Pelodiscus sinensis: one gene and its partners. The protein of the gene in region 1 interacts with the protein of each later gene in a biochemical or structural test. Links are inferred from orthologs where the notes say so. Each region holds a gene or a part of one and is shown on either strand. Other genes may lie near its edges. The genes, in order: RAD51, FBH1, RAD54B and RAD52.

Region 1 (7,675 bases):
AAGCGGGGGAAGCGACTAGTTGACAAGCATTTGCTTATTGGATAGTCAACTAGTCATTCACATCCCAAGTTTCAATGCATTTATTACAAAACCTGGAGTATCAGTATATTATCAAAGTGGTAACTGAACACAGTGTTTTGTATTAATGCATTCCTGAAGTTAATCTTTCATATTTTTAATACACATTTCTGGATAAGATTTTTCTTCTTTGACAAACATCAAACAGGCAGAGTCAGTGACAACTTTTAAATGCAACTTCTAGTTAAATATAAAGACTGTTGGTTTGTTTGGCAAAGAGGTCCAGAGCTAGTCACTCATTACTAGGGATGTTAAAAAATGGGTTTTTTAATAACCGCATAACAGCTGAAATTTTACATGCACGTTTACACCTGAGAGGGAAGGCAGCTCTGTGGGAGCCTATGCACACAGGGAGCAGGCTTTTAAGCTGGCTCCCACCGAGCTGCCTCCCCTCACTCCATCCTTATCCCCCCACCATCACAGCCAGCAAGATGGTGGGGCAGGTGGCTCCCTAAGAGCCCAGTGCTCACAGGGAGTCTGCTTAAAAGCCAGCTCTCCACAAAGACTTGCCCTCACCCTGTGCTGCTGCCTGTGATACAGAGGCCACAGCATGGGGGGGAAGAAGGTGGGTTGCATGTAGTCAGCCAGGTTAATCGATGAACCTGGGCTTCTTAGTTAACCATTTAAGCATTTAGACTGTCACATCCCTACTTATTACATACCTCTAGCCTTGATATGGGCTGTGGACCAAAGCTTTCTTCCTCAGTTGATGTCTCTGCATTTGCTTCATATTGCATTTGCATGGCCATTGCACCAAGTATTAGATACAACTTCCCCTAAGAGAAAATACAAAAAAGGGGTGCCACTGCTCAAACATGCCTCTCTTCTACAAGAGACCACTAGTTCTTGTACCAGCCCTAGCACTGGCTGCTCTGGCCCCAGGAGCCCAAGCCCGAGGCCTGCTGCTGACAGCACGCTGTTCCAGCCAGACTGGAGCAGTCCACCGGCCAGGATTCTTTTTAGTTGGTAAACTGGTTAAACATTAGGTTAATCTAATCCAGTTAACTGATTAATTGGGATTTTACATCATTAGTCTGAGCAGCCCCCGCCCCAATCCTAACACCCTGCCCAGACTTCCCACACCATAACCCTCAGCACTGAGACCTCTCTCATACCCCCTGCCCTGATCCCTCCTCATACCTACCAAACCTGGCTCCTGCATCCCCCATTCAGAGTTCCCTGCCCTGAGCCCCTCATACAACCCAATGCTGACTCCTGCATCCCCACACCATAACTCCTGCACTCCCTGTATACCCAAGCCCTGAACCCCCCCAACTAAGGATGTAAAATCTAGGTTACTCAGGTAACCAGTTAAATGTTAGGTTAACCTAATGGTTAATCAGTTAGCTGACTAGCAGGATACCTCACTACTCCAGCCCTCACGTCTCCATCCCCTCTGTCTCTGCAAGCTCCTACACTGAGGCTAGGCTGGCTCTACTGGCTCCCAGACCCTGCGCTGGAGAAAGGACTGGCTCTGCTGTCTCCTGGCTCCCATGCTAGGGTGGGGGCTGGCTCTGGCTCTGCTGGCTCCCAGCCCCCATGCCTGTGGCAGGCTGAGGATGGGGGGCTGCTCCCAGAGGAACCAGTTAACTATTACCTGGTAAGCATCACCTAGTAATGGTGATGCTTACCAGGTTCCCATTCACATCCCTACACTCCACTCCACACTTAAATTTCTTACAAGTACTGTTGTATCTCAAACCCTCCCCACCGCTTCAAGGCCCCCCCCACGGGGGGGTGGGGGGGGGACACAGGACAGGTTGTGATAAATTTCTCACCAGTGCAGTTCTAAGTTACTTTCACCCCTTGCTTTTAAAAGTCCAGGAGGCTCTGAAACCAAAGAGATCTATGTGAAGGAACATAATAACTGACATATGGGATGAGAGATAAAGACCACATACTGCAGTATTCTATCTCCAAGAGTGACTAATACAGGTGCTTCACAGAAGGTGAAAGAATCTCACTGCAGAAAAATGTGGCAATCTGTTCCCATCAGGCCTTATCCTGGACTTTAATATTTGGAGATGGTCTTAAGTCTCTGAAGCATAAGCTTTACTATCGCTTCCAAATTGTTTATAATAAAGTTTGACAACTTGGGACATTCAGATGTACCCATATGGATCTCCAAGCCCTTTTTTTAATCCTGCTAAATTCTTGCCCTCAATGACATCCATTAGCAATGACTGCCAGTCTAATTACAATCTCTCCCCTTGTGAGATTCTTTCCCCAAACCTTTGATCACCTTCTGAACCCCTTCCAAGTCTGTATTACCCTTTTCTCAGAAGGTTTGCAACTGCACAAGACAGTCCAGAAGCAGCTGTATCACTGATTTCTATGACAAGATTCCCCATCTGCCCTCTCCTCTCCTAGTACCATTTGTAGTTCCTAGGACTTAGCTGCATGTTGAGTTGGGCTCTGTGTTGAGCACAGACCTTTGTTGACTTGTCTCCCGTGACGCTTTCAGGAGCTGGCACAGGACCGGGTGCAATGTTCGTATTTTTGGTTCAGCAACGAGGGGTCATCAAAAGCAACGGACAGGCAGGGCCCAGACGCAGCCCTGGATGACCGTACGCAGCTTTGAAGCTAGTGGGTTGCCCGGGCGAGGCTGAGCGCGGCGGAGACTGGAGGCAGCGCGGCCCTGGCTCGCCCAGCGCGGCCCGGGGTGATACCGGCCTGTGGGCCGGGCCCTGAGGCCGCGCAGCTTCCCCGGTACCGCCCGGACCGCGCTGGACGGGCGAGCCCTGCCCAGGCCCCTCGGGCTCGGGGCGCTGCCCCTGTCCTGGCGGCGAGGCCGCCCCGCACTCACCCCGCCGCGGCGCCGGCTCCTCGCCCCGGTCCGTTGGCGTTCCCCGGCCGCTGGCAGATTCGGAAAAGCCCGCCAGTCCGTCACGTGACGCGTGCGCGTCGCCCCGCCGCTTCCTGGCGCTGCCTTGTCTTCGGGCTGCCCGGAAGTTGGTGTTCCTGAGCATGCGCGTGAGAGCTGCGCGTGCTCAGTAACATCTGTTGAAGCTGCTGCCCAGTCTCTGGGGATTCCATCTGACTCCTGTTCCCCGGGCCTGGCGAGGGCAGGCCGAAGAGGTGGAAGTCTGGCGGGGCCAAGCACAAGAGGGGCAGAGGAAGGAGCTGTGCCAAGCTAGGGACAGAGGGCGATGTATTCCAGCCTGGGGCAGGAGGATGCAGTGACCCCACCTGGGGTGAGTCCTCTGCACTCGGGGGTGCTGGTTCTAAGAGCTATTGAATCAAAGTGTAGCCCTGCAGCTATAGGTGCTGAAGCCCCCCACACTCCTAGTTCCTGCTTGCAGCAGAGCTCCTACAGCCCCTGATGAGACTGTGCATCGCAGCATCCAGGGCTCTGTGTTTTAAGCAGTGGTGCTGCACCTCCATGCCTAGCCAGAGCAGCTCTTCCCTGGTTTAAGGATGTATTGAGCTGCTGAAGACTCGCTTCAGTGACATATTGCTCGCTCGCTCTCGCGCGCGCGCGCACACACACACACACACACAACCCCCCTCCCCCCAAATGATACAGTCGTCATTCATGGCTGTAGCAGTTGAAAGAATAACTTATGAGTTCATGTGTCTGCATAAAGCCTCATAGCAACTAACAAATTTGTGAATTGTTTTTTGGCTTGCCCGAAGAGGACGGCCTTGCCCTTGTAATCCATCCCAGACTTGATTTCACGCCTTTACATTATTTATTTTAATGGTATTTTTATTGCACTTGGCACTTTGCATTTGCCTTTCTTTGGCATTCTCAAGAGAAATGTCATGCTATTTATATTTGATAGCAAATAATCATTGAAGATATTAATAGTTGTTAGTAGAATTCAGCAATCACATCTCAGCATTTCTAATATAACAGCCTGTTTTTAATGCATTTATAATTTTTAAGTCTACATGTTTGATTAGAACAGATTTACTAATTGGGATCATGTGAATTCAAGAATAATTGATTTATTGGGTAGCTGTCAAAACTGCTGTAGTTTCCATGAACTGCCACTAGAAAGTGTCTTTTGTGATATATTGATTGAAACATGACCAGGTAGATCATTGTTGCTACTACTGTTATATAATTTCAACAAATCTTATATGAAGTATCAAGTAAGATGTCAATAGAAAAGTTATCGTTTGCTGAGTATGATTATGGTACTAATATGATGCATATGTGTCAGTGTATGTAAAGGGAGCAGTTGCTCCCAGGTGATTTAAAGGGGTTCAGCCCCCCCCAAGCCATTTAAAATTTCCACTGGAGCACTGCCATGGCCCTCTGGGTGGCTCTTAGGGCTACCTAATGAGGCAGAAGCAGCACACTACAAGCAGTGATGGGGGGGGAGGAGAAAGGAAGGGAGGAGTGCCGCAGGCAGTGCCATTCTACCTGAGACACCCCACCCCTTCCAAGAGCTTGGTGCTACCCTTCTACCTTGCCCAGGTTACCCTGTATGCCAATATAATTCATGTATTAGGACCAGTAGCCAGAGCTATCTCATCCATAAGACAGGTTGGAGTGGCCACCCTAGGCCCAGGGGATTGTGTAGGAGGCAAGGCACAGGGCAGCAGCAGGGGTCTGCTTCCCACCCCTGCCCTCAGGTGGCTGTGGGAGCCTCCTCTGCTCCATCCCCCATCCCCCAGCTGCTGCATTCCACTGCACTGCTGTAGTGAAGCATAGCTACCCAGCTGTGGAAGATAGTCAGCAGAGCAGGCTGGAGCAGCCATGGACCTGAGGAGGGGGCAAGCCTATCTGTTTGGATTTAAATTAGGGATGATATCTAAATTTAGCAGTTACACAATTATTTGATAGTCCCTGGTGGCAGGGGCCGCAGCCTCTGTCCTCAGGGAGTTTGAGCCTCCCGCAGACAGGTATTGCTGCCGCAGAGCAGCCTCTGGTTGAGGCAGGACCAAGCTTGCTGCGGACAGAGGCTGCTCTGTGGGATGCCAGTGCAGCCTGGGTCCATGGGGAGCTTGAGACCTTTGCAGATTCAGCCCCTTGCCATTTTGCACTGCTGCCTCTCTAGCAGAAGCAACACTGTAGGGGAGAAGGCTCCATAGGATCTAGTGCTCACGTGGAATCAGCTTAAAAGCTGGATTCCCACAGGCACTGGCTCTCATCTCCCCCTCCCTTGCTGCTTCTGACAGAGGGAGCTAGTGTATGCATGGGGGGAGGAGAAGAGAGGGGAAATACATGTAGTCAATAGAATTAATAAGCCTAGTCTTATCAGTTAGTCATGTAATCAACTACACATTGACAGCCCTAGTTTAAATAGCCACTCATTAAGTTTAGTGGTGATACAAGGACTGAGGAAGCTGCTTTTCTGACTACTTGTTAGCTTGTGTGGTAAAACAAAAGTTTACTGTCGTTGTTGGATTGCTACGTCTTGTGGGAGAATAGCCACCAACTCAAGAGGCATTTACCCTACTTCTCAGCAGTTTTTCTCTGATAAGGTACCAAAAAAAAGGGGTAAGCTCAATGGTACCAGTCTTCTATGTTGATGCTGACCATTTCTGGTAGATGGTACTGGAGCCTTCTCAGAAGGCTTAGAAAAGCTGCAGTACTTTCCTGACTCACTGGTACTGAAGGGAGCCCTTCACTTTGGATACTGAGCCTCAAGGACCAAGTCTCTGAGTTTGCTGTCCTGCTTGGAGGGTGAAGTCGCTGGGAGGTGGATTTTTTAAGAGGGGAGCTCATCTAAGATCTTTAGATGAAATCACTGAAGCTTTCCCTCTTATATGCAAATGCCGCACTGAGATCAAAATAGTGTCTTGGTCTGGCTCCAAAGCAGGACAAAGAGAGCACTTCATCATTAATAGCTGCAGCTTGATTTCCCGATTCCTCTCTATACAAAAGGCAACCTTTAAACCCTATTGAACTGGATGTACACAGTGGAAGATTTTCCCAGAGGAAATGAAACCTCTCAAATAACTAGTAACTACTACTATCCAATATGAATGTGAAAGTGTAACTGTGTGAATGGTTAACCAATGAGCCTGGGTAAAATAAAGCCTGGCCCAGCCCTTTGCCTGCTGGCATGGAGGAATGGCTAGGCCAAATTTGAATGAGTGACATTGTGTCCTGGCATGCAGGATCATAGTAATACCACTCTAATTTGTCCCAATTTGATTGCTTTCCCCCCCATCTCACCCCTGCTGTCCTTTTAGCATACTTGAAAAGATCTAACACACAAGTCAACTAAAAGGAACCTTCAGTTAGACACATCTGGTAAGGGGCCACAGCCACTTTATTCATGATTTATATAACAATTTTCCTGTAATAAGAATATCAAGGCATGGTTGCAGTTAAATAGGAATATCTACATATCAGTGGTGCATATCTTAGAATGACCAAGATCTTTATGGCATTCATCTGCTCCTAATCAACAAGGACAAGAAAGCTATTAGAACAAAATGTAATGGCATGGTGTCACTGTAGACACTTATGGGAAATTGTCCTACCAGACAAAGTATTGCCTAATCAGGATAGCATTGTTAGAAGTATCTACAAAGTCTTCATGCTTTCCATTAAGATGTTTATTGAATCTGTCTTTTAGTACTGGCAAACTACCAGGCGTGTGGACATGAGCTACAGTAATAGCCATCCATAGAGAGGATTGAGAAGATTTTAAAGGGGTACAGCCTGTTACATATTCAATAGTAAAATACCGGAGAGCACAGCCTAAGATTGATACAGTATGTATACACACACATTCGGGTTTTAAAAGTCAGTATTTCATGAGCCACCCCCCCATAAGTCAATAGTGGTATAAAATTGGGCAGGGGAGGGGGGAAAATAGGGTGAATCTTAAGTAGAGAACAATCTTCTTCCCTTTACTTCTTACCTTTTATTTGCATTATGCCATTCCAACATAGCTCAAATATCTCAAGGCAGAGGCATTCACTCATTTGTAAAGTGTCACATATGTGGTACTATGAAAGTACTACTTGATCTTCTAATTATAGGGCTATCAAGCAATTAAAACATTTAATCACGATTAATTGAGCAACTAATTGCATGCGCCTCCCCTTTGAAATGGCCTCGCCACGGCATTTCAACGGGGCAGTGCTGCATGGAGCCCAGGATCATTCCTAACTGTCAGGATGGTCAAATATTGGAATAAATTGCCAAGGGAGGTGGTGGAATCTCCTTCTCTGGAGATATTTAAGAACAGGTTAGATAGACATCTGTCAGGGATGGTGTAGACGGAGCTGGACTCGATGACCTCTCGAGGTCCCTTCCACTCCTATAATTCTATGATCAGCTGGAGTCCCCAGCTGACCCCTAGCTCCATGCAGGCTGCCCCTTGGAAGTGCCGCAGCTTTCCAAGGGGCAGCACATTAAGAGCCTGGGATCAGCTGATCCCTGGCTCCTAATACGCTGCCCCTTTAAAGCACCAAAATGGCACTTCCAAGAGGCAGCGCAGCATTAACACCTGCGATTAACATGTTAAAAACAGAACGTGTTAATGCTGTCCTGCATTAATCACAGGCGCTAACGCAGGTCAATTGACTTCTTCTTAAACCCTTGTACTCCGAGTGGAGCATAGGTCATATACAAGTCTCCTCCACTTCACTCTGTCTTGAGAGAAAACTAGCTGACTCTAGGAGTACC
Region 2 (7,565 bases), on another chromosome or scaffold:
CCACAAAAAGTGCTTTTGTGGAAAAGCGTCCACGCCAATCTAGACGCTCTGTTCCAAAAATGCTTTTAACGGAAAACTTTTCCGTTAAAAGCATTTCTGGAAAATCATGCCAGTATAGATGTAGCCAGTGTTTAACTGGTTATCTGATTAAGCAGAATTTTGCATCCCTCGTGTGGAGGTGGATACCAATTTTGTATCTGCACAGGGCTCTACAAGTATGCACTGTTGCTTTTGGAGTTCTTACAAATGAAAGATGCTATGGGACTATAAGATATCAATGTAGCTGCATTTATTGTATGAGACAAGTATCGCACGTATTGTGTCAATGTCAACAATCCTTAACTGACTAATGATTTATAATTATAACAATTAGGTCAGTACCTCCTATTCATGCTCTAATGTCAACATTACATATTAGCTGAGAACTCCAGGGTGCCTTATGTGATGGAAATCTTTTCCCTCCACTACTTTGGTGAATAATACAGCTTCAGGCCCTTGCCATATAATTTTACACTGATGCAGCAATTTTCATCTGAGAATATTATTATTTGTATTAGCATATCATTATTTGTATTATCAGGTCCCCATTCTGCTAACCATTGTAACTGTTTTCCACATATCAATTAATTAAGGCTCATTATTAGCTGCCCATGAATTTCTCATTCCCTCTGCCTTTTAGTTTCAGTGCTCATTAGATTTTAAAGGCAAGAAAACCAGCACAATTTTACAGGGGTCATTCAGTGAGTTAGTGGGAGATCTGGATTAGACCTTGACCTATGTGCTAACTCGACAATTCTTCCTCCCAAACACATTTCAAAAACTAGCGAGATCCTACAGTGAATCATAGAATCATAGGACTGGAAGGGACCTCGAGAGGTCATCGAGTCCAGCCCCCCGCCCTCAAGGCAGGACCAAGCTCCGTCTACACCATCCCTGACAGATGTCTATCTAATCTGTTCTTAAATATCTCCAGAGAGGGAGATTCCACCACTTCCCTTGGCAATTTATTCCAATATTTGACCACCCTGACAGTTAGGAATTTTTTCCTAATGTCCAATCTAAACCTCCCTTGCTGCACTTTAAGCCCATTACTCCTTGTCCTGTCCTCAGAAACATGCCTGTGACCTACCAGTCTGCCTTTTTCAAGCAGTCTATCCTTGCACCTTTATCCAATAGATACAACACGCAGTCCCTGTGACCCATGGAAGCTGCTTCATGGAGGGGCCTTTTGTAGTCATTATTAACCATCTCAATGTCCATTTCCAAGGCTTCTACTAAATGGACCAGAATGTTCAGGTGACCGTGCCTGGCTGCATAGTGAAGTACAGTGTCGGCAGATTTCCCATAGTGTTTCCGCCTCACTTCCTTGCTCGTTTCTTCGTCTTTCTGCAACTCCTCTTGGAAAAGGTCTAGCCTGCCTTCTTGAATCAGCCTGAGAAGTTGTTTCTGATTTTCTGCTTCTGCCATGGAGAAATGTGCGGCTCCTAAGACATTCAAAAACAGCAACAAGAAGGTTTGAGACGGGGAGATTTCAGAATAAAATGACTGATGAGATTTTAAACGCTACTTGGAAAATCTATGATAATAAAAACAGCCTTAATATAAAATCCAAAACACGGGTTTCTCCCACCAAATGAATCAAAGCTGTCAAGTGTCTGATATCTGGCATCACAGGGTTAAAATGTTCACAAGAAAACTCAGACGTGTATGCTTGCGAGCCAGTGGATGTGCAGTGTCATAAAAAAGCTTTTAGGAATAAAAATACTTCCCCCTCCCATAACTGAAAACACAGTAAATAAAAAACATCAGTATTGGATCTTATGCATAAAGACAGCAATTATTATTTAATACCCGGATTTTCAACAGTCAGCCATAACATTATCCTGTTACCAAAGGTAAAAAAAAGGTTGTGGGGTCAGCTACACAAAGTGAAAAAGACCCCAGCTACTCATGTGTCACATTAACATGATTAAAAGCTCACATCAGATACACCAGCGTCCACTGAAGGCTGCTGGAGCGGCTGCTGCAGGGGCGTGCAGCACTGAATTCCTTCCCCTAACACTGGCTGTGTTCTTTTGGACAAATAGCGTTTGCCCTGACACTTTATTTTAGGAGCACTGTGCTCGCTGCTTCCAGGCAGGGCTATTGGAACAGAGCTGCTTCCCTATCTCAGATGGATGATTTAAATCTGCCTTAGCAAATGGATCAGATTAGGCAAGTGGGTGGAGATGAAACTGGCAGGGGGCCATATGCACATGTCCCATCTTGGCAGGGGGCCCATATCCATATGTCCCATTTTGGCAGGGGGATCATATCCATATGTCCCATTTTGGCAGGGGGCCATATCTACATGTCTCATTTTGGCAGGAGGACCATATCCATATGTCCCATCTTGGCAGGGGGCCCATATCCATAGGTCCCATCTTGGCAGGGGGACCATATCCATAGGTCCCATCTTGGCAGGGGGCCCATATCCATAGGTCCCATTTTGGCAGGGGGCCCATATCCACAGGTCCCATCTTGGCAGGGGCCCATATCCACAGGTCCCATCTTGGCAGGGGCTTTTTTAAGGCATGTTCTGGTGGTACCGACCCCCCCCCCCCCCCAAGGAGGCATTTATCCCGTCTGCTCTTGCCAGCTAATGAAGTTGCCAAGCGCAAACAGGACAAAGCCTCCTTTTGGGAAAAGAAGGGGGGGGGTATGGGAGAAAGCGGCGTGAAGGGAGGGGCCAGCCCCTTGTAGGGGAGAGGCGGGGGGGGGGGCTGCCGAGTCGCAGCGACTGGCAACAGCACTGGGCGGGGGGGGCAAGGGGGGGGTCCCATTTTCTCTTTGGCACCGGGGCCCGCTGCAGCCCCTAACGCAAGTCCCCGCCCGGCTGGGGCAAGTCCCTCGGCTCATCGCCTCCTGCAGCTGAGAGCGGGGCCCCCGCCTGGGGCGGGCCCACCGAGGGCATCGCCATGGTAACGCTGCCCCCCGCCCGCCTTGACCCCGCCCACACACCGCGGCGTGACGTCACAGCCCGCGGGGGACGCCCGGCGCAGGGGGAGAGTGGACAGCGGGCGGAGGAAGTAAACAAACTCCGGGAACGTTTTCGCTCGTCCCTCGGGGCCGACGTGGCCCCGCCCCTCCCGGAGCCACGGCGGGGCTGGTTGGGCGGCGCCGAGCCTGCGCGCTCTCTGATTGGCGGGCGGCCGAGTCAGTCAGCGGCAGGGGCGGGCTCCCAGGAAGTCCGAGCGGGGTACGTGGGCAGGAGGTCGGAGTCGGGACGCGGCGCTGCCCCCGCAGGCCCCGAACGGCGGCGGGACCAGAGTGAGGCGCCTTGGGGGGCGGGGCCAGGGCCTGTGGGGATCCGCATTGGGGGCGGGGCTAGGGCCTCGGGGCGCATTGGGGGCGGGGCTTCAGTTTAAGGGGGCTCCGTAGTGGGCGGGGCTAGGGTCTGGGATTGCATTGGGGGCGGGGCTAGGGTCTCAGGGCGCATTGGGGGCGGGGCTTGGGCCGGAGGGGGCTCGTATGGGGGGCTCGGGGCGCATTGGGGGCGGGGCTTCAGTTTAAGGGGGCTCCGTAGTGGGCGGAGCTAGGGTCTGGGATTGCATTGGGGGCGGGGCTAGGGTCTCGGGGTGCTTTGGGGGCGGGGCTTGGGCCGGAGGGGGCTCGTATGGGGGGCTCGGGGCGCATTGGGGGCGGGGCTTCAGTTTAAGGGGGCTCCGTAGTGGGGCGGGGCTAGGGCCTGGGATTGCATTGGGGGCGGGGCTAGGGTATCGGGGCACATTGGGGGCGGGGCTAGGCCAGAGGGGGCTCGTATTGGGGGGGGCTTGGGGCGCATTGGGGCGGGGCTAGGGCCTGGGGCGCATTGGGGGCAGGAGCATTCCATGGGGTGGGGGTGTTCACTGGGGTGGGGGCTAGGGGGCTGGGTCGATGGTGGGAGGGGTCTGTATTGAGGGGAAGGGTTGGGCCTGGGGGGCACTGTGGGCGGGGATTGGGGTAGAGGGGTATTACGCATTGGGGACAGGGATCAGGTTCTGCTTTGGGGCCAGGGGTAGGATCTGGGGTGGGTTTGCATTGGGGGCCAGGAATAGGCATGGGCAGGTAAAGGCAGTTAATGCCCTGGGTGGAGTTCCCAAGGTCATGGCCAAAGCAGAAGTAGCCGCTTGATCCTGTTCTCTGGGATATTTAAGATCTTGAACCATTGAAGCAAATAGGTTATGATTTATTGATAATAATGATTAAAGTTGGACTAGTTCCTTTTCCCAATTTGAATTCTGTGTCTACTCTCCTAATAAGAGAGAAATAATTTTTAAGTGGATTTTTTTCAAAGGATCTCATCTTGAAGAGCAAATATTTCCTCTGTAGACATTTGCTTCTGGTATGTTTTGGGACAGCAAAGTGGTGGTTGTATAAGGCATTACATACCCCAGGGGTCTTTGCTAAAGCTCTTAGTGGTGTATGTAATAGTTCTGAGGGGAGGAAGACATGAAAGAAAATGACTTGACCTTTGGATGCTAATTGAAGCCAAAAGCACTTACTCGCTTCATGGATATCCTGGGTATGGTTTCTGGTATGGGATATCATTCTCTGATTAAAAACTGAAGCCAAGTAAGCAGTGTGGCTTGGAGGCTTTTACTGCATCTGGAAGGATTATTGCACATGATCATTAACTCATAATTCTATAGCTGGACATTAAGTTATCTATCCTTGCCAGTCCCTATTATCAAAGTAGATGGTATTGTTGCACATATGCATTTACAGTAGAACATTTAAATATTGCTCGCAAGATTTTCTAGTTAACTGACAACTGTAGAGGTAAGAGCTACACTGCAAATATATCTGAGTAGGGGCCCAGTTACGAGTTTGCAGTTTTGAGTGTAGACTGAAGTTTAACAAGTCTGGAGTAAGGATGTTAAAATGCGGTTAATTGACTAGTTGACAGGCACTTCCGCATTCCTCCTTTGAAATGTACAAGAGCCCCAGCAGTGGCTCTTCTACATTTCAAAGGAGGAATGCGGAACTCCTTGTACAGCCTGGGGCCAGCGGAAATCCCGCTGACTCTGGGGCATGCCTGCTTTGAAATGTGCATTTCAAAGTCATGGAGCCTGTGGTCAGCAGGGGACTCTCAATCCACAGCAGCTGCCCCTTTGAAATGCACGGAGGCAGTGTTTTAAAGGGGCAGCCGCCACACAGCTGATCCACGTATCAGTTGTGCAGCGGCTGCCTTGGGGTTTCATAAAGTCCCCCCTCCTTTGCAGCAGGGGGAGGATGTCGACTAGTTGACTAGTCTTTAACATCCCTAGTCTGGACATGTCCAACGCTTTAGCTTTTTTGTGCAATTGGCTTGAAAACCCATCTACATTAGATTATTTTTTCGATTGTAACCAGATCCCAAAACGTTGCTCAGAGGTGTAGAAAACTCACAGCTCTGAGAAATGGAGTTAAACTGACCTAAACCCAGGTGTGGACACGTCTGTTTCTATTGATCTAGCCACTTCCTGTCCTGGGGGCAAATTTACTACATCACTGGCAAAACTCCTGTCACTACAGTAGCTGTCTGTGCTACAGTGACGTAGCAATTGCTTACTGGAGGATACCCCAAAGTTCTGTACGGTGATGAATGAGACACCAAGAGTGATGTTACTGTGTAAACTTAGTCTGGGACAGTACAGAGTGTCTTGATGTTTTATTTTACTCTACAGAATATCGTCAGGGGTCTGCATATATTTCTGCATAGGCAATTGAAAGAAGGTACATTGGTTCAATGTTGGGATCATCCCATAGAGCTAGGAAACTAATTGGCTGTAGGTGTGTACCAAAGGCACAGCATGTCACTTGAAAACAAACATCAATGTAATTGAATTAACAACCGTGCAATTTGCTTTTCACGTTGGTGACAGTGAAACCATTTAAACAAAAGCGCCTCACCGCCAGCGACTGTGAAGCCTTCAGGCAGAGCAGAGAAGGCTCCTGTTCCCTGACACAGCCTTTCAGTCAAAGACGAGTGAGCAGAGATCTAAACAGAGGCCTCTACCCAACATACAGGACCAAGAGATCACAAGAAGGTAGAGTGTTTCTAAACAGGTTTAAGAGCTGAGAGAGAGAGAAAATGTTAATATCAACTCTGTGCAACAAGTAGAATTTAACCCCAATTTCTATGAGCGGGTACAGAGGGAAGAGCAGCGGGAAAGGGCTAATTGTCCACAAGGAAAGAAGTTGATTGATCCATATTGTAATCACCCATATTGTAGTCTAGTAAAGACCCACTAAATCGAAAGCTGAGGGCCTCCTTTGACCATAGTACTCCTAGTAAGGGAAGTTGATAGAAGCGTTTCTCCCATTGACCTTCTGCTGTGGGGCTGCCCCAGAAAATCAGTGTAAGGTAAGTCGACTCCAGCTATGCTGTTGTCATAGCTGGAACTGCGTATATTACATCAACTTTATCTGCCAGCGTAGGCCTGGCCTCAGCGTCAGGAGTCTTTTCCCCTCCCAAGAAGGGGTGAGTCCTACACCAAGCCTGGGTTAACTCCTGTTTTACCCCAACTTCAAATCCCCCCTGCCTTTCTCTAGCTTTGAAAAGCTGAAGTGCGCACACCAGCCTCGGTAGGCCAGCCTGCTTGCTGCCAATGGGAGCTCTAAGCAATAGATACTGCAGTATCCGCATTTATGGAATAGTGATAGAAATGTAGCCGTGTTAGTCTGGTGTAGCACTTTAAAGACTAACAAGATGGTTTATTAGGTGATGAGCTTTCGTGGGCCAGACCCACTTCCTCAGATCAAATAGTGGAAGAAAATTGTCACAACCATATATACCAAAGGATACAATTTAAAAAAAAGTGAACACATATGAAAAGGACAAATCAAATTTCAGAACAGAAGGGGGATGGGGGGGGGAGAAGGTAAATGTCTGTGAGCTAATGATATTAGAGGTGATAATTGGGGAAGCTATCTTTGTAATTATCTTACCCATTACAAAGATAGCTTCCCCAATTATCACCTCTAATATCATTAGCTCACAGACATTTACCTTCCCCCCCATCCCCCTTCTGTTCTGAAATTTGATTTGTCCTTTTCATATGTGTTCACTTTTTTTTACTTGTATCCTTTGGTATATATGGCGGTGACAATTTTCTTCCACTATTTGATCTGAGGAAGTGGGTCTGGCCCACGAAAGCTCATCACCTAATAAACCATCTTGTTAGTCTTTAAAATGCTACATAGTCCTGTATTTTGTTCCCGCATTTATGGAGACACTCCTGCATATTCATTATTTAATACGCCTTCTTATTTAATTAGATCTCTCGGTGTTTGTTGTCTAATACTCTGTACCAGCTTCCATTCAGGGATTTCAGTGCACTTAATGGCATTAACGAATACATGCTCACAGCCTCTCAGTGAAGAAGGGAACTAATTATTATGCCCATCTTCCACACATGAGGTACAATTTTCACAAACACCCACGTTTCCTTTTCCAAAGTGGCTTGGGAGCCTGAAGAGAGGCTAAGTTGCTTTTGAAAGCGAGACTGAGGTTCCTAAGTCACTTTGGCACTTTTAGAAATTTTCCTCGGGAGCTGAGGGGA
Region 3 (7,938 bases), on another chromosome or scaffold:
TTATTACAAATTACAAGGGTTATACTTCACACTCTATGTTGTCTTAGGAACAATCTCTTTAAATTGTAAGCTCTGAGCAAGGATTGTCTTTTACTATTACTTCTGGGGGAATTCTGTGTATGTGCAAAATTCATATCCCAGGAATTTTTTTTCCCCTCAGGGGAATATACATTCTGCCAGAGAGGTGCTGCAGTTATTCCTTTCAAACACCAGGGGATTTTGTGACACCAGAAGCGAGGGCAACTGTTCCCAAGCAGGAGCAAACCTCTGTGGATAGGAAGAAAAGGGTGTCTTAGACCCACAGCATCCCACCCATAAGGCCAGGTGAGGCAGCATGGGATATGGGGGACCTGAGACAGAAAGTGGGGAATATGGAGCTGCGGGGGTGGGGGTGTCACAGACTGCTAGTAGGGGGCCTGAATGGAAATGAGAGTGCAAGGGCACATTAACATTTCTATTTTTACCTGAGAAGTCGATGCACTTCCCAAGGGCAAGATGTACATTAGGGATGAACAGAATAAGAATTACCTTTTTTTAAACAAACTGTACATGGATATTAGATTGATAGAGACAGACAAAGTCCACTGAAAAAAAGTAATCGGGATCAGTGCAGATTTAAAAGATTCTATGGCAATGAATCAGGAGAATGAGATTTTGCCAACTGTCAGAGAGGTAGCCTTCTTAGTCTGTTTTAGCAAAAACCAAAAGAAGTCCTGTGGCATTTTAAAGACTAACAAACTTATTATGGTCTAGATGATACAGGTCCTGCCATGAGGGCAGGGGACTGGATTCGATGACCTCTCGAGGTCCCTTCCAGTTCTAGTGTTCTATGATTAGCCATGGCTCTCTCAAATTACAATACCTTTAGGTAGTCTCACCTTATCACTGTTAGAAGTGGGCCACATTCATTCTGATTGAATTAGCACTGATGTAATACTCTCATCTCTGTATGTATGTATAAATCCCTCCCATCTAAATCTTTCACTGCATACATCTGATGTAGTGAGCAGCGGCCCACAAAAGCTTATGCCCGAATACATTTGTTAATCTTTAAAGTGCCACAGGAGTCCTTGAGATTTTGTCAAATTTCACTTTATATCCCACAACTTTACCAAGGTTTAATTAAAAGTAACATGTATGGACTGTCTAGGAACACAAAGAAATAGATCACAACTATACAAATGCACTTCTCATCAATGCCTGAGACTGAGATCTTTGATAGCAGCACTATTTCTTCTTGCCTATACTAGAGGTTCAAGACGGGTGCAATACTTTAATTTCCATTTGTATGATGGAATTGAACCTGAGATCTCTGCAAGAGCTGAGAACAGGTGGTTCTCAGCAAAGGCTGCAGAGCAGACTCATTGTGCTCTCTGTAAGTGGTCTCAGCGAGAGATGTAGAAAGTCAAATAATGTAATAGTGTAACCACTATAAATCCTAGCAATTACATAATGTCTCTCAAAGTGGGCTCTCCTTGGCTGCAAACAGCGAACCAGAGCCAATGGGACCCATAAGGCACCAGGCCTGCAGAGCCCATAGTCCACTTTGAGAAACACTGAATTAAATGGTTATTTGTGCTGCTGGCTATGCAAGATAAAGGTATCAGGGATATGAACATGTATCCTAGTACATGATTAACCAATGAGTATGGGGGGAGAGGGAGGCAGGAGCCAATGCACGTGGAGCACAGAGGCAGCAGCATGGAGAGGGGGCAGGCAGGAGCCAGTATATGCAGGGAGCCAGCTTTTAAGCCAGCTCCCCGCATGTGCCAGTATCCACAGACCCACCTGTCCCTCTCCCACACTGCTTCCTCCCAGAGGTAGTAGCAGGGGGGTCAACAGAAGCCTCTGTGCCTCCAACACAGAGGTAGCTGGGTGGATGAGAGGGGAGGGGAACAGGAGCCAGTGTTCGCAGCAAGCTAGCTTAAAAGCTGGCTCCCCATGAGCACCAGCTCCTGCTGAAATACTTAGCAGTTACACATTTATACATCCCTATTATATATAAGCTTTATACTGCAGAGCCTGCAGCAAAGGTACCCCTGGAGAGGGGCTAGGAAGGGCTGCAAGCCCCACTCCCAGGGAGCCAGTGTGAAATTTGTGGCGTGCCACCCAGGCCAGGCCTGCCTTGGACAAGGGCTGCTGTGGCCAGGCTGCCAGATCAGCCCCTGCCTGTGGTGGACCCAGTGGAGCAGAACCCTTCCCAGAGTGAGTGGGGAGCTGTTCCAGCCCCTACCAGTTAACTGGAACTCGTAAGCCTCACCTGTTAAGGGTGTGGGTTAACCATTTACATCTCTAATCTGTGTCACCACATGGAACAGTACACCACACCCAGTAGGTATGTGGTCTACTTATACATGTATCTGGACACACACACATGTATTTGGTTGTGTATCATTTACCTCGTAACAAAGAACAGTAGATCTTATTTTTAGAAGAAGGCAGAGTTTGTCTAATTTTGCAGTACAAGTGGCTGGAAGAAAACTGGAAACGCGCGATTGCCAGTCTTGTCCTAAGTACACACTATTGTTCCTTGCCTTGTGCTAGGCCTTGCGCTAAGCTTGCTCCAGACACCTGCAAGGTTACAAGTTCCCAAACGGAATCTGAAAGTGTCGCTTTCCTGAGGGGCTGGGGGAACGCGCCGCGATGCCCAAAGCTCTATTGCCCGCAGGGCAGACTTGACAGGAGCAGGGCTCCGCTACTCAGCTTGCCACCAGTGCCCTCCCCCCACAGGGGCCACGGCCGGGCCCCTTGCTACTGAGCCTTTGCGGCCGGCCAGCGTGTGAGCACCGAGCGGGGTTGCTCCGTACTGCCCTCGCCCCCGGGCAGCGGGCGGGAACGTCATGTGCGCTTCCCGGCCGGGAGGGAGATAACAGCCTGCGCCGCTTGGCCCTGCCACGCGCACCCGAGCTCCCCTGCCCCACTCACAGAGCGGGACGCTCAACTCAACTGTCCCGCCGCAGGCTCCCGTCAGCCACTTGCCACTAGACGCATGCGCCCTCCTTCCCACACTTCCGCACATCTTCCCGCCCGACATCAACCGTCATTCAACCGCGCATGTGTCAAAGCACCCATCTACCTCCGCCGGCTGTCCTGCGTCCGCGCATGCCCACTTGCCTCTCCCTCTCGACGTTTGCTTGGGGCTGCATTGCGCCTGCGCAAGCTGCCACGCACAGTATGGCCGTCCTACTAGGGTCATTCCTGGTGTGACACACAGTCGTCAAGCAATAGCAGTCGCAAAATGCACTGCCTACTGTTTGCGATAGTTGCGGCGGTGCTTGGCAACCAAATTAGCGAGGGGTGGGGTAGAGCGTGAAGCGCCGCAGGTCTGGGGGGGGGCGGAGCGTGATCTCCCGCTGGGCGGGCAAGTGGGTGACAGGGACGCGCGAGTGGCTAACCCTGCGTGGGACCCCTCTCCAGCGGTTGGGGTTGAGGGGGCCGCGAGCCCACTGGCCCCGGACCGGCTAAGGTGGCTTGGCCGAGGGGCGGGCTTCGCTGGCCCTGACCCTGTGACTAAGGGGGTCGCCAGTGATGCTTGGCAGCGGCCTGGGGGAGGTCAGTCGGCGAGACGTCGGAGGTGGGGAAGACCCAGGGTGTGGCCCCGAGCTGCATATCTGCCTGCAGCCTCTGTTCATCCAGGTCCCTGACTCTCCTCCCCTTGGTGGCCAGGCACCTCGGCTCCAGATCCATCCGTGTCTCACCCAGTGACCCAGATGCGGTTTGTAAGAACATTAACTTCTAAAAACTTTACCTGTTAAGTAATTTAAATTACAAGAACTGTATTTAAAGTATAAGCTTTCCCCCCATGCAGTAGCTTATAAGAATTTGTTCCCCTTTGTGTTGACATTCTGTGTGTAAAATGATCAGATTTTATATGCATGGAACTAACGTTCATTGAAATGTTGCTAATTACACCTTGCTTCCAAACTTGTTTTAAAACGAACAACAGTATAAAAAAAACAAACCCTGAAGTATTGCAGTAATATTGCTAGCCTTCACCTTTTCACAATTGTAAGAAAAGTGTTAAAAGTGAAGGTGGGAGAGGAAGAGTTCAGCTGGTGATATCAAGTCTTGCCAGAGAGGAGCAGTTCGCAGTTTAACATTGTTAGTGAAATCAATGAAATTTCAAGTTTTCATTATAAAGCATAGCTTTTCTCCTATCTGTAAATTGCTGCAGGAAGAATTACTGAATGCACATCTTATAACACAAATTTGTGTTGTATCTTATAGTGTATAAAAGTAGTATGACTCTAGTTGTTGGAAAATGAGTTTAACTTTAAAAAATGCATTCTATACTTATGCACAGTGGAAGATTCTAAATTTCAGTGGTATTTTTTTCATATATATTGAAAGGTAAGTATATGCTCTGTTGAAAATGTAATGACTGCGTACACATCATCTCAGGATGGGATGCAGAGATAAAGTTTCTTGAAACTTAAAAGACTGCTTCTTGGAGCAGCTGGTTTTGGAACCCATAAGAGTAGAGGCAATTCTTGATTTAGTCCTAAGTGGAGCACAGGATCTGGTCCAAAAGGTGAATCTAACTGGACCTCTTGGAAATAGTGACCTGCAATATAATTAAATTTAACATTCCTGTGGTAGAATAAACATTATAGCAGTCCAACAGTGTGGCATTTAATTTCAGAAATCAGAACAACACAAAAATGAGAAGATTAGTTAAACAGAAAATAAAAGGTAAAGTACTAAAAGTGAAATCCCTGCAAGCTGCATGGAAACTCTTCAAAGACACCATAATACTCCACTTAAATATATAATGCAAATTAAAAAAAACATTGTATGAGAATAAAAGAAGTGACACTGGCTTAAAAATCAAGTAAAAGATGCTGTGGGAAATAAAAAAGGCATTGTTTTAAAAAGTGGAAAGTTAAATCCTAGTGAGGAAATTAAGAGCATAAGCTCTGTCAAATGAACTGTAAAAATATAATTAGGAAGCCAAAAAGGAATTTGAAAAACAGCTGGCCAAAAACTCAAAAAGTAGCAAAAAAACTGTAAATACATCAGAAGCAGGAAGCCTGCTAAACAACCAATGGGTGCCACTGGAGGATCAAGATGCTAACGGACCATTCAAGACAATAAGTTAATTGAGGAGAAAATAAATGAATTATTTGCATCAGTCTTCACAGCTGAGGATGTGACGAAGATTCCCAAACCTGAGCCATTCTTTTATGTGACAAATCTGAGGAATTGTCCCAGATTCAGGTGTCATTAGAAGAGGTTCTTGAACAAACTGATAAACTAAACAGTAACAAGTCACCAGAACCATATGGCATTCATCCATGAGTTCTGAAAGAATTCAAATGTGAAATTGCAGAATTACTAAGTGTGGTTTGTAACCTACACTTTAAATAATCTTCTGTACCAAATTAGTGGAGGATACCTAATCTTATGCAAGTTTTTAAACGGTGCTCTAGAGGTGATTCTGGCAATTGCGGGTCAGTAAGTCTAACTTTAGTAGTTGGGAGACTGGTTGAAAATATACAAAAGAACAGAATTGTCAAACACACAGATGAATATAATTTGTTGGGGAACAGTCAGAATGGTTTCTGTAAAAGAGAAATCATGCCTCACTAATCTACTACAGTTCTTTGAGGGGGTCAGCAAGCATGTAGACAAAGGGGATCCAGAAGATTTAGGTTTCCAGAAAGCCCATAACAATGTCCCTCACCAAAGGCTCTTACGCAAAGTAAGCTGTCCTTTAGAAGGTCCTCTTATGAATTGGTAACTGATTAAAAGGTAGGAATAAATAGTCAGGAGAGAGGTAACTAGTAGTGTCCCTGAGAGATCTATATTGGGAACTATCGTATTCAAGATTTTCGTAAACTGGCTGGGAATAGGGGTAAACAGTGAGGGAACAAAATTTACAAGTAATACAAAACTTCTCAGGATAGTTAAATCCAAAGCATACTGTGAAGAGCTTCGAAAGGATCTCAAAAATTAGGTGACTGGGCAACAAAATGGCAAATGAATTTTAATGTTGATATATGCAGAGTAATGCATATAGGAAAACATCCCAACTATACATATAAAATGTGGGGACTAAATTAGCATTTACCATTCAATAAATATCTTAGTCATTGTGGATAGTTCTCTGAAAACAGCTATTCGATGTTGTGATGGGGCCCCGAGAGCCCGCACTGGACCCCAGGGGGTAAATGCCCTGTTGGCGCTGCCAGGGAGTCCTTACCGGCCGTGCGCCGGATGCACTGGTGCTGCGGCCCTGCTGAGGAGCGTGGGCCTGGTGGCAGAGAAGGGGGAGGAGTCAACCCCGTGTCACGTTGGCGTGGGGTCAGGGCTACGCTGGTGACGTCAGGGTGACATCCGGCCTAACGTCCTGGGCAGCGGGAGATTTAAAAGCCTCCTGGGCAGAGAGAGGGGAGGAATGCAAGGAGCGCTGAGGCAGGCGGGGCTGGCGAGAGACGCCGACCCAGGCGAGGGTGGGGGGCGCCAGGCGAAGCTCCGCAGGGAGCAATGGGAGCCGGAAGGGCTCGCCTTGGCAGGGGGGTGATCTGCACTGGAGGAGGAGGAGAGAGGAAGTAGCCCAGGGCAGGGCGGTGAACTTAGCCCATGGGCTGACGAGTTTAGGAGAGTGGCCCCGTCAGCCGGAGTTGGACCGCAGCATGGTCCAAGTCATTAGGGCCCTGGGCTGGGGCCCACAAGTGAGGGTGGGCCCAGGCCCCCCTCTCTCCTCTGCCTCGTGTGGAGGAGAGACTCAGCGAGACAACAGTCAAAGATTATTGACGCCACCAGCTGCCGAGGAGCTAGTCGGCTGGGCATGAGAGGGCGGGACGCCCATAACTGTGAGGGGCTGGGGACCCAGGACATCAGGTCCACCCCAGGTGCACGGTCACAGATGTGCAGTAGCAGTCAAAAAAAGCAAACAATGTTAGGAATAATTAAAAAGGGGATAGACAGAGAATATCTTTTTGCTTCTATATCAGTGGTTCTCAAAGTGCTGTCTGCAGACCCCAAGTGGTCTGCAGCCTCCTCCCATGTGGTCCCTGGCTTGAACGCAGCCCCCCCACCTCTCCTTCCCAGTTGGGGACAGAACATCGACCCCTTTAGCATCTCATTTGGGAACTGAGATCAGTGTCACCCAACAGTTTTTCCCTGCCAGTTTTTCCCTGCCTGTTTAGGATCTCTGCCTAAACAACTCCCCTAACTCACCCCAGGGCCAGTTGCTTCTCTTCACCAAGTGAGAGATCCCTGTATAATCAGCCCTAGGGTCAATGTTGCACAGTCCCTGGCTGTCTCATAGCCTGTGAAGTGAGAGTTCCGCTATGGGGGGATGTTGGGAGCCAACATCCCTTGCAAGGTAAATGGACAGTCATGGGAGTGGGGAGCCCAGGAGTTACTCACTGGCCAGGAGGGAGCTGAGCTCCCTCCCCCTTCCCGCTTCGCTGGGAGAAGGGCAGGCAGTGACGTGCTGTCCATAGGCTTTTCCTGCTGCAATGGGGCATGAACCCCACTTCCCGCCCCAGATCCTGCACCCTCATCCCTATTCCACTCACTAGTAGCCCTGCCCTGCACACTGAACCCTTCATTTTTGTCCGCACCCCAGCTTAATGGGCTCCACAAACTCCACTAAATTCGGCACCCCAGAAAAATAAATCTGGCCTTTCGGAAACCCTGAACCTCAGACTTTTCTGTCCTTTCTCCTCGCCTCATAGGGCTGGAGCACCAGAGAAGTGAGGTGTCATGACTGGTGTGGAGAAAGAAGATCAGGAAAAGTTATTTACTCCTCATACACAAGAATTAGGAATCACCAAATGAAATTAATACATAACAGGTTTAAAACAAATACAAGGAAGTATTTCTTCACACAACACACAGTCAGCCTGTGGAACTCCTTGTCAGAGAATGTTGTGAAGGTCATTAATAGGGTGCAAAAAAGGGCTATATACACATTCATGGAAGACCGAT
Region 4 (8,464 bases), on another chromosome or scaffold:
CGCCATAGATCAGTGGTTCTTAACCTGCGGTGCACCCACCCGCTGGGGGTGCGAGACATTCCAGATTTTTATGATATATCTTAGGTTTAAAAAACTGACCTACTTCAACTATTTTTAATAAGGGGTGTGAGAACATATTTTGAGAACCAAAGGGGTGCAGGCTGCAGTAAGGTTATGAACCACTGCCATAGATGGATGCATTCCTGGTGATGAACTTTGCAAATACTGGGAACCATGGCTACCTGTGGGGAGCTCACCACAGTTCCAGGCATCCACAGAGAACAGGAATGAAAACCAAATGGTATATTAACTTTGATTAAAATAATTCTCTCACTTCTAATCACCAAAATGTACTGGGAAGCTTCAGAACAGAATTTTATCAGGACCACTGTTAGAAGTTTGCAGCAACATGTTCTTCATTCTCATAGCTCACACAGAGTAACAAAAATATTTCCTCAGCAACTATGATGCAGTTGCATGCTCTCTCTCTGAGTGGAAACAGATGGCTCCCTGTAAGCACAGGCTCCCACCTGCCCTCCTTGCAGTGCTGCACAGGGTGGCAGGTGGAAGCCAGTAGGCGTGGGATGTCGGCTTTTGAGCTGGTTCCCCGCACGTACCAGCTCCCGCAGAGACACCTCCGTATCCATGCGCTACTGCCTCTCATGCAAAGAGGTGGCTCCGCACATAAATGTGTAACCACTGAAAATTTCAGCAGTTACATGTTTACCAAAATAAACACATTTTAATATGCCTACTTCCAGGTAACATAACTAGGTAAGTGCGCTGGAGAGCCTTTCTCCAGCGCACTTACCAAGGGTTAGACTCACAGAGTGATTCCCTTCATGTGTGGGAAAGTACAGGATGCGATGCATCACTGGACATCATAAGTGGAGAAGAGAGGATTTGATTTACTGGTTACAGTGGTAGGAAAAAGGAAGCCCATTCACACAGGTAGATAATCCAATACTGGGCAATGTTCCCTCTAATCTTTTCCATCCACTTGTCTTAGAATATGTCTGCATTGCATTCCTCCTTCGAGAGAGGAATGCAAATACAGACAAATGAAATTGCCAATGAAGCACGGATTTGAATTTCCCGTGCTCCATTTGCATAATTGCTGCTGGCCGCTTTTTCGAAATATCTTATTTTGAGATAAAAAACGCTGTTTAGACGCATTTCAAGAAATAACCCTTAAATCTATAAGGAGTAAAGGTTATTTCAAAAGACGGGTTTTTTCTCAAAATAACCACATCTAAACAGCATTTTTTCTCTCAAAATAGGATATTTAGAAAAAGCTGCCAGCCGCGATTATGCAAATGAAGCGTGGGAAATTCAAATCCGTGCTTCATTTGCCATTTCTTTTGTCTGTATTTGCATTCCTCTCTCGAACGAGGAATGCAATGTAGACATACCCTTAGGGAATACATTTTTATCTGTGCACCGAGGCATGTACGAATGTGTACCACTAATAGAAACAAAAACCTAACTGCAGGTGCTCTGCTAATCAACTGGGCAGCTTTTAAATGTTTCTGGAGCGGTTGCACAGCTTACAGGGAGAGCTCATATTGGGTTACTTACAGAAGTAGTCTCCAACCTTTTTATGCCCAAGATCACTCTTTGAATTTAAGAGCAACCCTGCCTGCTCCATCTCCCCTCAACCCTATCCTTCCATGCTCTCTCCAGCTCCCCTTTCTCCTTCACTTTCACTGAACTTGAGCAGGAGGTTGAAGGGGAAGAAGGGATGTGGTGTGCTGGCTCTGACAGCAGGCTCAGGCTTGGGGCTTGGAGTGCAGGAGGAAGTATGGGGGGCTGGCTCTGAGAGGGAGTCTAGGGCTGTGACTAGGGATGCAGGAGGGGGTATGACAGGTATGGGCAATATTTGGTGTGGGGGGCACTTCACAAATTTCCTAAGTGGCCACAGGCCATCCCGGAAGAGGTGGGACCATGGGCAGAAAGATCAGGTTGGTTTGGCTAGATCTACCTTCTGCAAAACCATGCTGCATTTCATTCCAATTACGTTTACCTCTATGTCCTTAACAACTTTCCCTTTCAAAATGTGTTCCAAGATAGTCGTATCCAAACTTCTGAGGGCAATGCATCCCCCAATCCCAGTCTGTGGCCCCAGCCCCTTCCCCTTCTCTAGAGCCAGGGCTGGGAGTGGGGACATAGCTCAGCTGGGAAGGAGGGGAAGGCTGGAGCTGCAGCTTGGGATGGTGCTGGGACTTGCAGTGGGGCAGGAGCAGAGTCAGTGGCAAGGCTGTGACAGGGAACAGCAGTAGGGGCCAGCTCCACTCCTGGCCTACCTCCACCCCCAGCCTTGTCCCCAGACAAGGAACAGAACCATGACCTGAAGCTCAATTTGGGGGTGGGACCAGAGCAGAGCAGGAGGCGGTGAGAGGCCAGGTAGCATGCCATCCCTATCTCCCTTTGAGGGTTGGCGTGACCCCGCCATATCACCACCAAACATTCCTCTGCACCGCAGTGTAGGGCCCTTTTAAGACCTTGAATATAACTGAGATCAAACTAAAGAGCCTGTAGTTTCCCAGATCAATTTTTATTTTACGCCCTCTTAAAAATAGGTACCATATTTGCAACTTCATTACAGGGAGATGACTGAGAAACCCAGGAAGCTGAGTAGCAAATACTGCTGCCTCCACTACTCCAGATCCTGCATGGAGCATATCAAAAATAACTTTTGAAGAGATGTTTTTCCCTAGGGCTGCTCCAGTCTGAGGTGGGAAGCAGATACACAACTGCAACTGGCCTAGAGCATGTCGAGGCGGAGGGTAAGGGGCCAGGACCGACTTGGGGCTGCAGCCAGCCCTCCAGACGAGAGGGAAGGAGTGACAGAGCATTTTAGGGCTCCATCCATTGGGAAAGAGAAGGGAGCAGAAGGAGTGGAGTTCGGACTTGCTTCCCCAAAGGGGGCTCCATGATTAAGATTTACAAGTTAGTAGCCATGTGGACACCAACCATGTTTTTAACCAGTTATGCCACTACCCAATCATTGGTGAAGTAAGAGCCTAATAAAAGTTTACAGCATGACCAGAGACACAGCTACTACTTATCTGCGTAAAAACGTAAAGCATTCTGTAACAGCAGTTCTCCAACATAAACAGGGCCTGTTAGGGTGCATCTAGACAGCTCCCTTTTGCTGGAATAAGCTATGCAATTTGTAGTACACAAATTGCATAACTTATTCCGAGTGTAAATTGAAAGAACTTATTTTGAAATTTGGTGCTGTCTACACAGCGCCAAATTTCAAAATGGCGTACTATTCTGACAAATCCCTTAACTCTCATGGAGCAAGGGTTACAGGGACACCAGAATAGCGCACCCACTACTTCAGGAAATAGCAGGCGCTTTTAAAGACGTGGCAATGCTATTTCGAGATACTTCTGGTATCCAGAAAGAGCAATGCAGTCTAGTTGCACCCTCAGTAACATATATATTTGACTTGGTTACAGCTAAACTTGTTTCAATAAACTTTGGTCAGCCAACATACAAAAGATCCAATCATATTAAGTGGCATTCAAGAACCATGCTCTCTCTCATATCCTTGGGCAGTGCTGTCACTAAAGGTGTACTGTTTCACACAGCTCCACAATTACAAATAATCCCAGATTAGCCAAAAGTGGCTGTGTTTAGTGCAAGTTATATTTATAATGACCACTATTATATTGCTAGCCATATTAGTATAATTAACTTGGTTATTAAAGACTCCAAAAAGTAACTAGCACCATCTCATCTAACCCTACCCAGAAATAAACTGAATGACAAATTGATAATACCATTATGGGGAGTCAGCTTCAAAGAATGAATTTGACAGCATATTTCTACACTTATGACTCAACCACAAATATCAAAGGGAAGGTTTGCAAAATAATCTAGGACCAAATATGACATTTTACAACACTGATAATTCTGCTTATTTTACCATCCTCCTTATTTTGTTTCCCTACTGCTTTGTCTTTGGTGACTCCTTCTGTTCTCTTTCTCTATCTCTGCACAAGCTACCTTAAAGCCACTCCCAAATTTCGCCTAAAACCTTCAAGCTTTACTCCTACACCATTCCCCACTGCCTATAATTAAATGATCCATGATACAATTAGCTGATGGCATGTACTGTTTTATAATTGGCCTTTAGATTAAATACCATAGTTAGAGTGATATGGAGAACAGGAAAATTCACTTTTCCCACAGCTATTGTTTCAGGATGTCTGAGGATTCTAGGAACAAGCTCACTTTTCATTTGGGAGGTTAATTTAGAACCACCACAAATTAAAAACTCAATTTAGTAATAAACCTTTAGATTCAGCATGGTTTGGATAAAATACCTAAGGCAAAGGGGTATCTGACATCCATACCATAGATAACATGATTGCCCCATTTGAGAATAAAGGTGTTTTTTTTTTACATTAGACATTACATGCAGTTAATAACAGCCAATATTGAGGTTGGTGAGGAGACGAGGACACAGAGAAGAGCTACTTGGTTGGACACAAAAATACGACTCAATATATTTTTATTACATCCACAAGCCCTGAGCAATGTCACCAGAGGAGACACAGACCCCCTTGTGTCTGTGTGTCGGGAGAAAACAGGCACGTTGCCACGATGGGATCCCCGGCTTTTCCTTTCCTCGGGCTGTCCCGCAGGGGGCGGGGGCTATGTGAGGACAGAAGGAAGCACCCCGGCCAGACACGGTGCGGACAGGAGATGCGGGGCGCCGGCACAGCTGCCCCAGGCCCCGCGCCTCCCCCAGCATCAGAGAGGAGACTGGGCCAAGCAGAGACCGCTCCCTCCCAGCCACCTCCGCCCCCGCCCCGAGCGCCCCTGCTCTCCCAGCCTGCAGCCAAGCCACCCACCCGCGGAGTAGGGGGTGGGGGGAGAAAGGGAGGGGTCGCGGCGGGTTCCGGGCGAGACCCACCTGAGCTGGCGACGGCGGCGGATCCCTCAGTACCAGGCCGCCCCCCGGCTCCAGCCGCGCAGCCCGGCCGCATCCTGCCCCCCTCAGCCGCAGCCAGCGGCCCCCGGCCCCGCCCAGGCTCCCCCCACCCCCTCGGGTCTTGGGGCCCCGTCTCTCACCTGCCGCCCGCCCGGTGGCTCCGGCTGCTGCCTGTCAACGACGGGGAGGGGAGCGAGGGGGGGGGCAGCACCAGGCAGGCTCGACTCCTCCCCACCCGCTTCTCCCTCACGCTCGGCTCGCTCCCGCGCCCCCAGCTCCAGCCGCTACGAAGTCCCGCCTCCGGCGCGAGCCCAGCAAGCCCCGCCTGCCCCGCCCCCTACGCTGCGCGCCGCAGCAAAGCTCCGCCCCCCGCGCGGGCCTCTCCGCCTGAATCATCGGCGCCGCGCGGGCGAGAGCCCTTCGGAAGCAGTTGCGTCTCCTGACCGCTAGCCCGCTCCTTTCGGACCTTGCGTGCGCGCGCCCCGAAGTGGCCGCGGAAGACGGCGGCACGAGCGCGACGTCGTCCCCGGCGCGTCTGGTGTGGGCGGGAATTTTGTCTTTTCCCGCTTGCCGTAACCTGCCCGCGTTGTCGATAGGGTAGAGCTGCCGCTGGAGAAAGGAACCCAGCTCCCCCCCCCTCCCCCACTCACGTACAGGTAATGAGTGAACCAGTGGCGCGGGGGGAGGGGTCGTCCCCCCCCCTCCGCCCACACCCCTGTGCTGACGGGCTCCTGTGGGCAGCGCCGCACTCCCAACGCGCCGCGGCGGGCGGGTTCTAGACGCGGCTGCTCCCCTCCCCCCACCCCACCCCACGGGGCCGGAGAGTGACGCGGCGCCACCTCCCTCCGGAGCCGGCCGAGCGCGCGGGGGTCGCGGGGTTGAAACGGCGCTACCGGGGCATCGCGGCGGGTAACGGCAACGGCTTCCCGCGCGCGGCGCTGACCAAGGAGCGGGACAGTCCGGCTGCAGGTGACGCAGCGGGAGGGGAAGGAAGGGTGCGACCGGGGGGGGTCCCCTGCCCCCCCCCCAGTGTAAAGCCGTCGCCCCCCGGTCCCGAACAACGAGCTGGCGACATGAGACGCCTTCGCTGTAGGTCGGTCAGATCGACGGCGAGAGGAGGAGGAGCAGGGGCGTGTCCCACAGCCCGTCCCCTTAAGAGCCCGGCAAGCGGTAGCCGCAATAGACGTGGGATCCTCCTGCTTCTTTCTTAGAAGGGGGGTGAAGTAGCTGGTGCTGTGGGCATTTATAGGGCCGCTGAGGGGGATAAAGTAATTCACACCTCTCGGCGATACTGCTACAGGCTGATGAGGATGTGTCTGCATTGGGTCGTGTCATGTGTGACCATTAAAATAGAAACGGCGGGGGTGGGGGGTTGGAAGGGGCCAGTACACTTCACTTCTGTGTCCCAGCCCAACACAAGTGTTGTCTAATACAGTTTTTGTCATCCTTTTTTTTTTATAAAGTACCCCTTTGAAAAAAAAAAAACTCCCTTTAAATATATATATATATATGTGCCCCCAGTACGTACAGTTTTCAGACACACACAGGCTACGTCTAGATTGGCATGGTTTTCTGGAAACGGAAAAGTTTTCCGTTAAAAGCATTTTCGGAAAAGAGCGTCTAGATTGGCACAGACGCTTTTCCGCAAAAGCACTTTTTGCGGAAAAGCGTCTGTGGCCAATCTAGACGCGCTTTTCCGCAAAAAAGCCCCAATCGCCATTTTAGCGATCGGGGCTTTTTTGCGCAAAACAAATCTCAGCTGTCTACACTGGCCATTTTGCGCAAAAGGGACTTTTGCCCGAACAGGAGCAGCATAGTATTTCCGCAAAAAGCACTGATTTCTTACAGTCGGAAGTCAGTGCTTTTGCGGAAATTCAAGCGGCCAGTGTAGACAGCTGATACGTTTTTCCGGAAAAGCGGCTGATTTTCTGGAAAAACTGGCCAGTCTAGACACAGCCACAATGTTTTTCTACCATTGCAACACATTTGTTCAAACAACTTAATGGTAGCTGGGTAGGCGATGAAATTTTTGAGTGTAAAAAGTACAAAAATAATAAAGCCTTGTAAAACTTAAAACAAAAATTCAGTTTTGATGAATCCTTTTCCCCCTTCCTCCCTCCTAGACTTCTCTCAAGTATCCCTAAGGGTACTCATACCGCTGGTTGAGAATCACTGGTCTAATATACAGAATACTTTACAACACAGGCTCAGGTCTAGTTTACGCTACAGACATCTACAGTATTGGTAGAACTGCATCACTCAGAGGTGTGGAAAAAGCTACTCACATGAGTAATAATAATTTAACTGACATAACACAACCACCCTCCTGCCAATATAATCCTCTCCAGGCAAATTAAGTTTATGGAGCCCTAAGCCTCTATGCCTCCCCCATTATGGGGCTTTCTGTGGCCCACAATCGATTTTTTTTGTGGGGACAGAGTTCTGCGACTGGGGGCAGAGGAGAGGGAACAGGGAGCTGGGAGGGCAGAGGACAGGGTTCTGCAGTAGGGGACAGGATGCCAGTGGGGACAGAGTTCGGGGAGAGGGGACGGGAATGGGGACAGAGTTCAGGGAGTGGGGACAGAGTTCTGTAGCTGGGGACAGGGTGCCAGTGGTAGCAGAGTCACCTGTATCTGCCTCCTCCCAGGATTCTCTCTCCCTCCCTCCTCCCCCCGCCCCCCTGCAGGAAGCCAGCACATGCCTGCCCCGGGGCTAACCCCCGCCTCCCGCAGCGGGGGCAAACCCCCGTGGGAGCCTGCCTCGGGGGCAACCCCCCCATTCCGCGGCCCGGGCGAAACCCCCATTCCGCGGCCCGGGCCAAACCCCCATTCCGCGGCCCAGCCCCTCCCCTCCCGCAGCGTGGCCAACCCCTGTGGGCACCTGCCCCAGGGCCAAACCCCCCTCCCACGGCGCAGCGCAGCCAACCCCCTCCTGCAGCATGGCCAACCCCCGCGGGCGCCTGCTCCGGGGTCAAACCCCCCTTCTCCGAAGCGGCCTGGCCCAGCCAACTCCCTCCCCTCCCGCAGCGTGGCCAAACCCCGGGGCCAACTCCTGCTCCCGCGCCGCAGGGAAACCCCTGTGCCCAACTCACCCCTCCTGCGGCGCAGGGAAGCCTTCGCACTCCTCCTCTAGGGCCAACGCCCCCTTCCCCAGCACACAACAGAACTGTGGGAGGGGGAAGTGACACGGGCTTCAGAGAGGACTTCCGTCCACCCCGCGGGAAGCCGGCACTACACTAGAGATAGGTAGTGGGGCTTCTCGGGGATGGGAGGAAAATGGGGGGCGGGGTTGCCCGAACGCCTCGCGATCAACTGGTCGAGGCCTCACGATCGACCAGTCGATCGCGATCAACGGGTTGGTAACCACAGCTCTACGGATAGGGGCTGCTGCCACTCTGCGCTGTTGCCTATGCATCAGGCATCAGCATGGGGCAGCAAGCAGCCCGTCAATGCAGGGAGCTCATTTTTTAAACTGGCTTCCCTCGCAGACTGGCTCCCCCCTGCCATCCCTGCTGGC

What was found.
Region 2: the proteins of RAD51 (region 1) and FBH1 form a complex in vitro, tested with the Homo sapiens proteins (2 studies listed by BioGRID, with this or other methods). The link is inferred for Pelodiscus sinensis from reciprocal best matches to the Homo sapiens genes RAD51 and FBH1.
Region 3: the proteins of RAD51 (region 1) and RAD54B form a complex in vitro, tested with the Homo sapiens proteins (2 studies listed by BioGRID). The link is inferred for Pelodiscus sinensis from reciprocal best matches to the Homo sapiens genes RAD51 and RAD54B.
Region 4: the proteins of RAD51 (region 1) and RAD52 form a complex in vitro, tested with the Homo sapiens proteins (6 studies listed by BioGRID). The link is inferred for Pelodiscus sinensis from reciprocal best matches to the Homo sapiens genes RAD51 and RAD52.

What each region holds. Positions count from the first base shown.
Region 1 is NC_134714.1:63,239,900-63,247,574, reverse strand, and holds the start of RAD51 (DNA repair protein RAD51 homolog 1), read right to left. Parts: upstream 3,027-7,675; 5' UTR 2,885-3,026; intron 2,729-2,884; exon of another isoform or gene 2,511-2,728; intron 1,909-2,510; exon of another isoform or gene 1,857-1,908; intron 855-1,856; 5' UTR 828-854; coding exon 741-827; intron 1-740.
Region 2 is NC_134711.1:3,369,343-3,376,907, forward strand, and holds the start of FBH1 (F-box DNA helicase 1), read left to right. Parts: upstream 1-4,388; 5' UTR 4,389-4,530; coding exon 4,531-4,543; intron 4,544-5,885; coding exon 5,886-6,050; intron 6,051-7,565. Other genes in the region: ANKRD16 (ankyrin repeat domain-containing protein 16), read right to left, coding at 1,130-1,484, 1,852-1,879. UniProt on the Homo sapiens protein: 3'-5' DNA helicase and substrate-recognition component of the SCF(FBH1) E3 ubiquitin ligase complex that plays a key role in response to stalled/damaged replication forks.
Region 3 is NC_134712.1:40,512,252-40,520,189, reverse strand, and holds the start of RAD54B (DNA repair and recombination protein RAD54B), read right to left. Parts: upstream 3,171-7,938; 5' UTR 3,077-3,170; intron 3,066-3,076; exon of another isoform or gene 2,926-3,065; intron 2,920-2,925; exon of another isoform or gene 2,400-2,919; intron 1-2,399. Other genes in the region: RING finger protein 151-like, read left to right, coding at 3,711-3,719. UniProt on the Homo sapiens protein: Involved in DNA repair and mitotic recombination. May play an active role in recombination processes in concert with other members of the RAD52 epistasis group.
Region 4 is NC_134711.1:108,172,328-108,180,791, reverse strand, and holds the start of RAD52 (DNA repair protein RAD52 homolog), read left to right. Parts: upstream 1-5,337; 5' UTR 5,338-5,604; intron 5,605-5,685; exon of another isoform or gene 5,686-5,917; intron 5,918-8,464. UniProt on the Homo sapiens protein: Involved in double-stranded break repair. Plays a central role in genetic recombination and DNA repair by promoting the annealing of complementary single-stranded DNA and by stimulation of the RAD51 recombinase.